Linked DNA regions of Saccharomyces cerevisiae S288C. Changing the gene in region 2 together with the main gene of any one other region gives a genetic interaction. Each region holds a gene or a part of one and is shown on either strand. Other genes may lie near its edges.

Region 1 (4,353 bases), on a different chromosome or scaffold from region 2:
ATCGACTGTGTATATTTCATATTTTCGCGATTCTTCACGGTGAGCCAACCATGGAAACTTTACCACTTTCATGTTATCAGAGACCTTTGGTTACTGGCAATTTTATTATGCTTCGTTGGTAAGCCTTAATTATTTTATGAATGTTCGCCAATATTATATGTTTCTGCCACCTAAACCAGTAACTTCGTTTTATTTTTGTTGCGATGCGAGATGATTGATTTTGAATATTCTTACGATTACAGTAGCAGTCAACCTGAAAAAGGCAAAAGAAAAATAACGACTTACAGAGGATAACAGTACAAGGGTTCATTTTCATCTGTAAAACATTTTAAAAATGTGCTTTCAGTTTGTGGGGCAAGCTAAAGATAACTGTTCTCAGAAAGAGTGTTCATATTATACTATTTATTTCCTTTCCATTACAAATTGATGTACGTAATTTTTTTTTGCTTACAAATCATTAAGAAGGATACAAAAGCTTGCACCTTATTACTACGATGTCTTTACTGCATTATTTCTCCCTTCAAAGATAACAAATCACCGCAAGTTCTTATAACAAGTTCCTTTTTGAAAATTGTTTTGGAATGTTTTCGAGCAGGATCGAGTAAGTGCGTCAACTCGATTAAGATATTTTCTTCCCGGTTCAAAGCGCCGCTGACTACGGCTTTTTTGGCCATTTTTAGCAGGCTGCTACTTAGGTGATATAACCATAATAGGTTTGTTCTTGGTTCAAATGTAGCCCAGGATATTGGCTGAGGCAGCATGCTTCTCATCAGTTCATATATCTCGAATTGAAGAGTCCCCCGGCCTTGGAAGAAATAATGATGGTCTAATCTTGTATAGGAAGCCTTATTGTTGTCTATATTCAAGAAACGACAGCACTTCATATCAATTAAAGTAACATTCCCTTTAGAGTCTATCAAAATATGGTCCAAAGTTAGATTCCTGTGTTCGAGCTGAAATTTGGATTCAGCAACATATAAAATACTGCTGCACTGCCAGAAAATAGACAATGCTTGAGAGTAATCAATGTTAGAGCACCTTGATAGAGGAGTTCCCTGGTATTTGAAAAATAAGTACAGTATCAAGTTTTGGTCATTTTCACATTGATTTGAGGGCACAACATAAGCTTGCAGTAAATTGGCGACACCGCTAGTTCCTTGTATTAACCGTAATGATTTCAATTCATGTAAGGATATCAAGTTTGAAGTAGTCAAATCACTTAGAGCCCCTAGACATACTTTCTTGCAAATGAGTGAAGTTTGCATATCGCTATGATAAGTTTGCCAAAAGTTATGAGACAGCTGAACCGATCTAGTATTCAACGTAAACAAGCCTAATGACTGAGCTTCACGTAGATCATGTAATATATACTTAACATCACAAAGTTGTAATATTTGTTGCAAAATTGAATCATTGTAGTCCAAAGTGTTTATGGGAGTGACTTCTGAAGATAAGGATGCCAATGATGTTGAATTTTTCAATTTCAGTTGAATCTTGTCCTTTGAGACTTGGTCTGGAACAGGCAATGATATTTGGCAAGTTTTTTTGATCGGATGATTCAGTTCTTGTGTATTTCCTTTACGCCTTACTTTGAGCTTATTTAGTGAAGAATGTGATGTTTTATGCTTCAAACTTCTAAAGGAAAGGTTCGATGATGAATGTTTGTGGTTTAGCTCCTTCGTGCTCTGATGATCGGGCATAATAAATCCAGAATTCCTCTTCTTCTCTGTGTGTTTGCCACCACCAAAAATAGAATTGTGAAAACTTGAAATTGAAGACTTCTTTTGTAACGAATTGGTTGGTTTTGGCTGAACAAAGTTCGGATCTTGGTCATTCACAGATCTGGAAGATAGCGACCTCGACAATAGGTTATCATTTTTCCAGAACTTCCACTTTGAAGAAGAGGTGGTAGAAGTAAAGGAATTAACTGAGTTCACACTGGATGAATGAACATGAGAACTTGTCTTCTCGTCACCCCAGCATTTGAAATCACTACCGCTCCGAAACTTAAGTGATCTAAAATCTTTAACAGGCTCATCCCTTGATAAAGTCGATTGGTTTGAAATAGGTCTCAAGGGTGTACGAAACTTGGAGTTAGTCACCTTTGTAAGACCTTGCTTCGACAACCTTTTAGATGGAGAGAGCAGCTTGTTTTCCGATAGCACCGACTGAGATACATTTTCTTTGTTTGAAGAGTGAGCGGTATCATTAATATTAATTTTATTGAAGAGTTGTTTGAGCGATGAACCTGTAGAAGATCTTTTACCATAGTAATCATCGTTTTCGATGGTTTTACCTACAGGCCTTGTTTTGGATGTTGGAGAATCTGAAGAAGTAAAAAAGGATTGACTCTCATCTTCTGCTGAACCCTTGTGCGAAGTGATTTTGTAAACTTTTCTTCCTACATCCACTGCGGGGCTTCCCATGGATGAAGAATTTAATGAGCTGTCGGCATCATCGCTTTCTGCTACTTCGAGAGCAAAATACCTTCTGTCAGTCATCTGTTGATCTGCTACCGCATCAAAATTCATTTTCTCAATACAAATAGCGCATGTATGTGTGTTTGGTGAAATGATTTTACTACAACTAAATATATTAATACCAATACGCTTTAAGTTATTGTTTACTATTTTCGCTTTTCGAGAAGAGAAGATGTTACAAAAAGTTTCGCGAATTGCTATCAAAACTGAAAAAAAAAAAAAACGTTAGGCGTATCACAAACGAGAATTTAAGGTGTAGCAAGATAGAAAAAGGCACCTCTTTCAAAGCAAGCAAATGAGCGATAGAGATCAGATAGAACCTGTCACAAATGCATTAGATGCAGAAAGTGATTCTAGTGATGATTTTGGGAATTTTTCAGATGCCTCAGTTGAAAATGACCTCTATAACCAGAATTCTACTTTAACGACGTCTTCCGAATCTGTAGTAGATAACTGCTTGAATAAGATACTACCAAAGGGAGAATTTGACCTGGAAGAAGAAACCATAAAGAATGACTGTTTCAAGCTGAGCAAACTTATTGAAGATGAACGACCCCATGTCATTTATGAACAACTCGTACAATTAGATCCTGTGTTACAGCCATTCATATGGAATAAATCTCATATACGCAGAAACTTGCTCCACATTTTGAGATTATCGGATAATAATGGCTCTGAGGGTGTTGGTACGAAGAGGGAGGAAGAACCGTTGAATGATGAGTTGTTCAAAAGGATATGCGATGCAGTGGAGAAAAATGAGCAAACGGCTACTGGTCTCTTCCTGAGGGATAATTTCAAAATTGACTATACACCACCAATGACTTTAAAATCTCTTCAAAAGGAAGAGGAGCGTGAGCAAGAGCAGCATATACCGCAATTGCTTATGGCAGATTTTACTAGTATGGATGAAGAATCTTTACGCCAATACCACGATACATTGTGTCAATCCATTGACTTTTTGGTTAGTAAATCAAGATCATTGAAGAAACAACAGCGAGACCTCCTAAAGGATAAGACAACTTTTGAAAATGTAGTGACGAATTTGACAGGACATACCCAAAGACTACAGCGAGACGAAATTGCATTGTATAACAAAAAGCGAAACAAAAAGAAAAGGTTCAGTTGGGTAGGATACTAATCGCCGTCTCGGCAAAGCAGGTTGAACGTTGAAGTTTGAAGAGAATAAAATGTTATTAGTAGCATAGGGGACCAGACCAAAAGTCGTAAAAGAGCAATATACTTTTTTATAAAACATACAATTATACAATTAGTCCCCCCCTCAAGAAATAAAAAGCCCCTGTGCGAGGGATATACATAAACATTGAGCATTAATATTTACAACTCCCAATGAGCAATAATGGGTTTATTACATAAATAGAACGGCGAAAGATTTAGTTTCTAGTATCTTCACCGTCAGTAAATGGCATCTACGCATCTCCTTCTTTCCCTTCTTCTTCTTCTTCCTCTTCTTCTTCTTCCTCTTCTTCTTCCTCTTCCTCTTCCCTGGCAGTATTTTCACCAATTCTCTTGTTTAAGACGGCCTGTGCGATTTTACTTGCTAATCCATTTTTTTCCTCCAAGATTTCGTTTTCTACCTCAAATTCGGAGGAAGAAGAAGGTGCAACGGATGTCGAAGCTAAGGAAGACTCTGACTTACGATGAAAAGTAGAAGAGAATAATGGAATGTTAGAGAGGGAATTGTCACTATTGACCAATGAGACGCCATCGGAATCTTGGTTATGGTGTTCATAGGCATCGTGGTTGTCACGTTGGCTGATGATAGGTGATGACGAATCTTTTTCTTGTCTTTTTATTTTCTGTTTTCTTAGCATTTTCCTGCGATTCAATTCTGAGGTTTTTCGATCTTCTTCCT
Region 2 (4,560 bases):
GAATAAATTTGTTGTAGCCGCTTTCCTCAGGAAGGACCCCATGTATTTCATCAAATCATATAAGTTGAATATCCCATCAATTGCGTACCTAGTACTTAAATAAAATACTCACGTCGCTTTCTTTGAATATTTGGAAATGAATTGAGACCTAGTGTGCTGTGTGCCCTTGTTCATTGACGATTAAAGCTTTAAGGACCATTACTATGGGTAAGAATATCATCCGGGCAACGGTATTTCTTAATCTTTTCGAAGATTCTTTTGCCACCGGAAGGGAAAGAAAAGACATCATATATAGGTGGTAGCAAAACCTTCAAGTTAGTGCTCAGCAGTTCATCAGGATCAGTTGCATAAACACAATTACACAAAATGAGTGGTTACGATAGAGCTTTGTCCATTTTCTCCCCAGATGGACACATTTTCCAAGTGGAGTACGCCCTGGAGGCGGTAAAGAGGGGTACCTGTGCTGTAGGTGTCAAGGGTAAGAATTGTGTAGTATTGGGCTGCGAAAGAAGGTCTACTTTGAAGCTGCAAGACACTAGAATTACGCCTTCCAAAGTTTCCAAAATTGACTCGCATGTGGTGTTGTCATTTTCTGGTTTAAATGCAGATTCCAGAATTCTTATCGAGAAGGCTAGAGTGGAGGCCCAAAGTCACAGACTAACGTTGGAGGATCCCGTGACGGTGGAGTATCTCACACGTTATGTCGCTGGTGTGCAACAAAGGTACACGCAGTCAGGAGGTGTTAGACCATTTGGTGTGTCGACGCTGATTGCCGGCTTCGACCCGAGAGATGATGAACCCAAGCTTTACCAGACCGAGCCAAGTGGTATATACTCTTCGTGGTCCGCTCAGACCATTGGGAGAAACTCCAAGACGGTACGTGAGTTTTTGGAGAAGAATTACGATCGCAAAGAACCACCAGCCACAGTGGAAGAATGTGTCAAACTTACTGTAAGATCTCTGTTGGAGGTAGTTCAAACAGGTGCAAAAAATATTGAAATCACTGTTGTTAAGCCGGACTCAGATATTGTTGCGTTGAGCAGTGAGGAAATTAACCAGTACGTCACCCAAATCGAACAAGAAAAGCAAGAGCAGCAAGAGCAGGACAAAAAGAAAAAATCTAACCATTAAAAACGGCGATATATATTGGGCATAAAACCTATATAAAATAACAGCAATAATAAAAATGCAAAATATAACATAGCACGGTATAGTTAGCTCATATATGTTTTAACGAGCCTTACATTATATCATTTAATACGATCTCATGTTTTTCGGATTTCGGATCTCGCCAAGAAAACTTGCTGATATAGAATGGAATGGAATGACTTCAAAAACTGCCCACTCATAAAGTTTGCTTCTTTAAATTGAATATATATTCACAGTCCGATTTGAAAAGCTTACCATCTGCCACACGCATTCTACTCCCTAATTTCCACACACAGTGTTTTTGTTTCTATAAAGAAAAAGAAAACCAAAATACTGTACTTTTTCCCATAATTTTCTTTCCATACGCCTATATGCCCATACTTTGCCCGGTTTATCGAACAACGCTGTGAATTTTGCGAGTCATAAAAGACTTATCGTACCATTATACCCCATTCATTATCAAAACATTATCTTATTTATATATCCAATTTAAAATCCTGTTTTTTAAGAAATAATTTCCAATACATTATTATAACTTATTGATACCTATTTAGAATCGATATTTGGTCTTTTCTTTGAGAAGAAAAAAGAAAAGAAATAAAAAAAAAGTTCACAAAAGTTTGTCATGGAACACCAAGATAGTTCGCCACCTAGATTCAGGAACTCTGGCTCTAATAGAGTCACTGTGTATAACGGTACTACCCTGCCTACGATGCCCAAGAGCGCCACACCAACATCGAGCTCAACAACAGTTACTACGCATTTGCAAAATATTAAGGAGGAGGAAACAAACGATGACGAACTCACCCAAGTGGATCGTTCATCTCCTCGTGTTTTGGGGAGGATCTCCTCTACGTCCTCATCTTCATCCAATATTGATTTGCGCGATAACTTGGACATGTTACACGAAATAGAAAAATCAAATACTAATATTTCTTTATCAGCTCCTAATTTGCATGAGGAACTGGGCGTTCTCAGCGATAAAGGTAACAGTAAAGAAGAATTGGCTTTGTTACCACCTTTACCTCACACAGGAGAAATGGAAATCACTCCACAATTTGATATCAACGAGGCTATTTTTGAACGAGATGACATCAGCCACTCTTCAAGGCTAGAACCAGATGACGTGTTAACAAAGTTAGCGAACTCTACTCGAGATGCTACGGGTGAAGATCAGGGGTTTGTTGTCATGACTCATGGCCACGATGCGTCGACAAACGACGATTCGCAATTAAGCGCTACTATTCTTGACAATCAGACGTCATTTGATCTTTCTAAAGCTCTAGAGATGACTAGCCATTCAAATATTTCTAATATTATTAATAGTTCCGGTTCTGAGGGAAGACGTTCAAGGACACCGGTAAGCAATTCCACTCTGAAACCAAATTTATCATCTCCTGAAAGCGCAGAACGTGAAGCAAACACGACTTCGTCCTCCTCTACGTCGGATCACGGGGCAACAATGCAATATGATCCCAAGAAAATAATAACTCCAATTCCTGTTTTACCTTCCTCTGTCCGTGAACAGCAACAGAACAATGCACCTTTGAGAGAAAGAAGCAGATCTAATTCTAGTGCACTGGCATCTACACTGAGAGATACGATCATTTCAGGACTGCCTCAAAATATTAATTCTGTAGAAAGAAAGTTATCAAGGAAGAGTAACAGGAGTAGGAAGAATACGGTGACTTTTGAAGATCGTCTTCAGAAATTGCCACCCTTAAGCACCCAAATTTCGAACCAGTACGCCAAGGTAGCACCAGCTGAGAACAATATCGCCTTACACTTTCATAACTTACCTACACCAGTATCAAACACTCAAACGCCTGTTACGTTTCAGTCTGAATCCGGACTGACAGGGGGAGAAAAGAAAATGCCTTTTTTGAGAAGAGCATCTAGTGCCCTATTAAGAAAGACATCTGCCAAAAATTGCTCCAATTTAACCAGAACAAATACACCTACTTTATCGACATCCTCAACATTTGAGTCAGATCTAAATGCTCGGCAGCCCATGCTAATTCGACGATCTTCCACTATTGATAATAAACTACCTAGGAGGCAGCTTTCGTGCTCGAAGCTTTATTCGCGCCTCAATTCGGACAGCAAGTTTGCGAATAGCAGTCGAGCTTCGGAGGAGGTCTTAGTGTCCACTCCAAATGACACAGAACACGTCTACAGAAAGACATCTCTAGGTTCTAAGATAAAGAGAGGTTTTACTAGAATATTGAGCGACAGTAATAATAGTAAGGAAATTCTCACTTTATCACCCAAATCTATGGTGACTACGGGGCCTACAGAATTGTCGTTTTCCTCTTTATCAACCGTGGGAGGACATCCGACAACGCCAGTCTCAAAAGAAAATGATCGAGTTTCAATAGATGGCGTGAGTACATTTAATCGAGCATCAACATCTCTTCCAGAATCATCAACAGACGACATCTCTCCACTACGCGAAGAAGGTAAGATTAATGTTCCTAAAAGAACGTCAAGTAGAAAGATACTGTCTAAAAATTCAAGCAAAAAAAATGTACTGCCTGAACAGCAAACAAAGCCAAGTGAAATATATCTGGATAAAGAAGCCTTACAAAGTTTTGTTCCCGTACTCTCTGTCACAGAGGGTACTCATCGCATCAATCGCTCGTCGTTACAAACGCAATCTACCATCGGATTATGCATTACCAATTTAAGAAACAAAGAAGGCATGAAGCTCAATGCCAAGGAATACGTGGAAATCCTGGCTCAGCAGCAACGCAAGGAAGATGAAAGGTATGCTGTTTTGGAAAGAAAATTTGCATCTTGTAGATGGTGCAGTGATAAGGACCTGCAGTATTTGAAAAAGAAACGAATTTCCATGAATAAGATATGGTCTGATTATGTCCGATTTTACCGTGGAAAGTTGAACAACCCATGAAGGAAAAAGGTCTTGGCTATATATAACGGCAGACAAAATATAAGTATACACGTATATATGGTGGTAAACACGCATATACTGTATGCCATGTATTTACCATTACATAGTTATTTACGCACTCTATAAAAAGTTAACATTGCATTTTAATAAATTCCTTAAATTACTCTAATTAGGATGGTAGCCCTACCTTTTTTTTTTTTGGCACACATGGTCAACTTTTCTTCTCATGCTTTAAAAGGCGAGAAAAAATGAAAATTAGCAAAATGACCTTTCCCTCCTTCCCACATTGAATATATACACTGGAAGATATAAGCAACCAGTACTGTAGATAAAAAAGATCACTACGATATTCGTCGGACTCCAGTCGGAGTGCAGTGCCCGATTACTCTTAATTGCACGCATCGTGCCAAGTTTAATTGGTATTGCTCGAACATCTAGGAATAAGAGAAGGACTTACTTTAGAATGATGAAAGAGGTAGCAATTTGCAGCAGATTTTTCG
Region 3 (3,850 bases), on a different chromosome or scaffold from region 2:
TTTGACCGCAAGAGAGATTTTCGCCGCCGATGATACTGATTTAAATGAATTTATTGGTTTGAAGAAATTTGCACCTTATCGTTCCAAGGAACTAAGAGCGAAGGATAAAAGGAAAGTGATGAAGGCAAGAAGATTAAGAGAGTGGAGGAAGAAAACTTTTAAGAACGAAAATGGGTTAGCTCCAGTCGAAGCAGAGGCAGGGGAGAAGGATGAGGACACCATACTGATACCTGTAGAGAAAGCCTCTAAAAGCAAACACAAGAGGGGGCACAGTCATAAACATAAAGGCCACCAGAAAAAGTAAACTAGGTGAAATATCGGCCCTGTATATTACGATACATAAGCTTACATAGTGATAATCTATCTCCGAATTTCCCTAAAAAAGAATGTCATTTTACGTATTAATATGTAATTTTATAATTTCAACATTTGTCATTTTTGTCCCTTTGAGTGGTCCATTTCAGGAAGTATGGAATCATCAACTGATATGGCCGTCAACGATCAATCAGTGAGTTTGTCATCAATGGACTCCCCTTCGCCTATACGGTCGGTGCCGGGTCCTACAATGAGCGGGATCCCGTTTGCGTTCATATCTAGAAAATTGTTTGTGGTGTGGCTTGATATAGCAGCTGTTGCTATCGCAGAAGTGTTGGAAGATGATCCGGGCACCATCGCTGGAACAGAAGGAATTGAAGCTGACGTGTTTGACGCTCCCTGCTGGGCGGGGACCCTTGGTGAAGGGCTGAAAAGATTATGCAGATAGTCTCCCATGTTGAAGTTGGGCGTCCTGAGTAAGTTAAAATTGGTACCGTTCAATTCTCTTGAAGGCGTGGTAGGTACGTTACTAGGTGGATGCAATGTGTTTGTGGTGGGCTTTCTTCTCTGCTGTGGCGATAGTGTCGCCTGGACACTACCGTTATTATTGCTCAAGTATAGTGATGGAGAATCCATGAGAGATTCGTCCGGAAAATTCGGTAACAGATTAGATTTGAAAGTGGACTGCGGAGAAGACGCTGAAGGTTTGATATGAGAGAATCTTACTGCATCGTTTGATGTGCTTGCTGTATTACCGTTCAAACTCAATTGCGACGCGTAATGATAAGAGCGTGGAGTAGTGGGCATCCTTACGGCCATCGGTGTTCCATGATGTGATGACTTATTATATGGACTTGTGGCTAAATACATTAAGAGATCAGCGCCCGCAGTGTTGTCGCTGTCCTGTGGAGCATCCTTAGAGCCTGCTGCCTTCTTCTTGATATTATTATTGTTATTGCTATGGTTACTGCTGTTGTTATTATTACGTTTTGGCGTCATGAAATTCTTATCATGGGGGCGCTGGTAGTGTGACGAAGCGTGTGGTAAGATTATAGGTGTAGCAGAAGCCCTCGGAGTAGATGGAGTGTCCTCCTTCCTAGGCTTGATCTGCTGTGAGCGGTCTTCGGCTTTTCGTTGGCGTGAACTTGGGGGAGTATTTGGCTTCTCTACAAATTTTACGGGCGATATAACAGTCATTTTATTTGTATCATCGTGGAGAGGCTTTTTCGCAGGCGATATGGCTTCCAAAAGAGTTTTGTGGTCCTCATCAACATCTTCGGCATCCTCTCCGCTTCTTTTCTTTGTTGTAGAGTCCTGTTTTCGTTTTGTTGATGGGACATTACTTAAACCAAGCTTTAATTGACGCGTCATCTGAGCCAACTCAGCTCTATGCAAAATCTTGGAGGCCAATTCTTGCTCTTTTTCAGGGGACATCTGGGGTTGAGACATTTCTTGTATGCACAATGGGAACACTGATTGAAAATAGTAACGCTCTACGTACTCCTTCTTTCGATGATATTTTTGGTTCCTTCTGCACTTCATAATTGTAATTTTTTTTTCTTGCATTTTCGCGTGATATCAAAATTATGAGAGGAAAGGTGAAAGAGCGTCATGTTGGCTTCAAGGGATCAGCGATACTAAAGCAGCACCGGTGCAACTGGAATATCAAGAGACTGAACATGATTCCGAGGACTAGAACACTACTGCAAAGTAAAATACCAATTACCAGGTACTTTGCCAGATGTTGGGCGCCTCGCGTACGCTACAACGTGTGCCGTACTCTACCCGCAGCAGCGTTGCATACCAATATCATCGCACATAATGAAGTGAAAAAGGACGATAAGAAGGTTCATTTGGGGTCTTTTAAGGTAGACAAGCCTAAGATGATGATAGCTTTCACCTGCAAGAAATGTAACACCCGATCTTCACACACAATGTCCAAGCAGGCGTACGAGAAAGGTACTGTCTTGATCTCTTGTCCGCACTGCAAAGTGAGACATTTGATAGCAGACCATCTGAAAATATTCCATGATCATCATGTTACCGTGGAACAGTTAATGAAAGCTAACGGAGAACAAGTTAGCCAAGACGTGGGCGACTTGGAGTTTGAAGACATCCCAGATTCGCTAAAGGACGTCCTGGGAAAATATGCCAAGAACAACTCAGAAAATGCATCCCAGCTCCCTCACCCTTCCCAGAAATGAATGAAGAGCTCATGCACAGGCATGTACATAGATAGATATATAACCGTTAAATAGCACGTTTTTCCAGAGACTGAGTCATGATTACTGCCAAAAACCCGCACATCACATATTTTTTTGCGATAACCAGCAGAAGATTTAGGACTAGAGTACATAAAGATGAGCCACTGCTAGATATGAAAAGTTGAACCGCATTTTCAAACGTTCAAACCAACCGAATCATGAAACGGTTGCAATTGTTTGGTAGATCAAAATATTTCTCGCTGGTCTCCAGTGCTGCGAAGGAGGAAGAAGAAGAGGAAGAGGGCTGTGCTGATGCCAAAAGCCTTCTACATAGTACGAGCCATGATATCAAATCGAGATCACTACGCTTCAACGATAAATCGTCCCTCATGTGTTTGCCAACAAAAGTTCTACTGTTAATACTGCGAACTTTGGACTTCAATACATTAGTAACACTATGCCAAGTCAATTCGAGGTTCTACAATTTGATTACGAATGAGTTCCTTTTCCAAAACGTTATTTTGGACTCAAAACTTTCGTTGTTAAAGTTCAATGCTTTGATACACTCCGAGTTCCACACGTCGAACATTGTCACACACAGCGGTGATTGTAGCACACAATCTAGATCACAAAATGCAAGGTTCCTCGTAAGATCCATCGAATTCAAAAATCCTCAGTCCCAAGACTCGTTGTTAAAATACAGTAAGTTCTATAATAAGAGTGGCCAAGATTCTATTATTGCTGGATCTTATAAACTCGATTCGTATGATAAAGACGTAAAAAAACTGAATAACATCAGACTAAACGATGAGACTCCCATCATAACTTCAGAACGAATCAAACTGCTTGATAAATTGGAAAGCAACTACTTCCATTATACTTATATTGAGCTAATGCTTGATATTATAGACTATCTACCGAACCTGACCAGAGTGATTCTGAGTGATGTGGAACCGAATTTTAAAATTCCTTTATGGTACTCTGTATTCAACGATGGATCTAGAGATTTTTTCAAGAAAATAATCAAGGGCCAGCAATCCATCACAAACGAAGATTTGAGGACTTTCCAACTATCCAAAAAATTTGTCAAAGAATACGAATCCAAGTATTATTCTCTGCCAAGGTTGAAAATACTGGAAATCAAAGCTAATAATAAAAGACAAAGAACCTTTAATCGTCAACGCCATCACCAAAAGCTCGTACTAAGACCGAGTTTATTCTGCTGTTTCGGCATAATTAATGAACTTAAACTAGAAAATGTAACGATAGACACCGAATCGCTAGATACTCCAATGGAATTCTTACCACTATTTCTAAAGAACGAAGATAAT

The links.
Region 1: mutations in YOL036W (region 2) and ALK2 together harm fitness more than expected from each alone (negative genetic interaction), as found in Saccharomyces cerevisiae (2 studies listed by BioGRID).
Region 3: mutations in YOL036W (region 2) and STB1 together harm fitness more than expected from each alone (negative genetic interaction), as found in Saccharomyces cerevisiae (2 studies listed by BioGRID).

The regions. Positions count from the first base shown.
Region 1 is NC_001134.8:205,372-209,724, reverse strand, and holds ALK2 (protein kinase ALK2), read right to left. Parts: upstream 2,532-4,353; coding exon 501-2,531; downstream 1-500. Other genes in the region: HIR1 (Hir1p), read right to left, coding at 1-72; YBL008W-A (uncharacterized protein), read right to left, coding at 77-316; LAA2 (Laa2p), read left to right, coding at 2,776-3,618; bifunctional glycerol-3-phosphate/glycerone-phosphate O-acyltransferase SCT1, read right to left, coding at 3,908-4,353. UniProt on the Saccharomyces cerevisiae protein: Serine/threonine haspin-like protein kinase involved in cell cycle regulation.
Region 2 is NC_001147.6:254,971-259,530, forward strand, and holds YOL036W (uncharacterized protein), read left to right. Parts: upstream 1-1,774; coding exon 1,775-4,060; downstream 4,061-4,560. Other genes in the region: YOL038C-A (uncharacterized protein), read right to left, coding at 1-51; PRE6 (proteasome core particle subunit alpha 4), read left to right, coding at 367-1,131.
Region 3 is NC_001146.8:50,576-54,425, reverse strand, and holds STB1 (Stb1p), read right to left. Parts: upstream 1,765-3,850; coding exon 502-1,764; downstream 1-501. Other genes in the region: KRI1 (Kri1p), read left to right, coding at 1-304; ZIM17 (Zim17p), read left to right, coding at 1,995-2,519; putative SCF ubiquitin ligase complex subunit SKP2, read left to right, coding at 2,738-3,850. UniProt on the Saccharomyces cerevisiae protein: Involved in the regulation and timing of MBF-dependent transcription in late G1 of the cell cycle.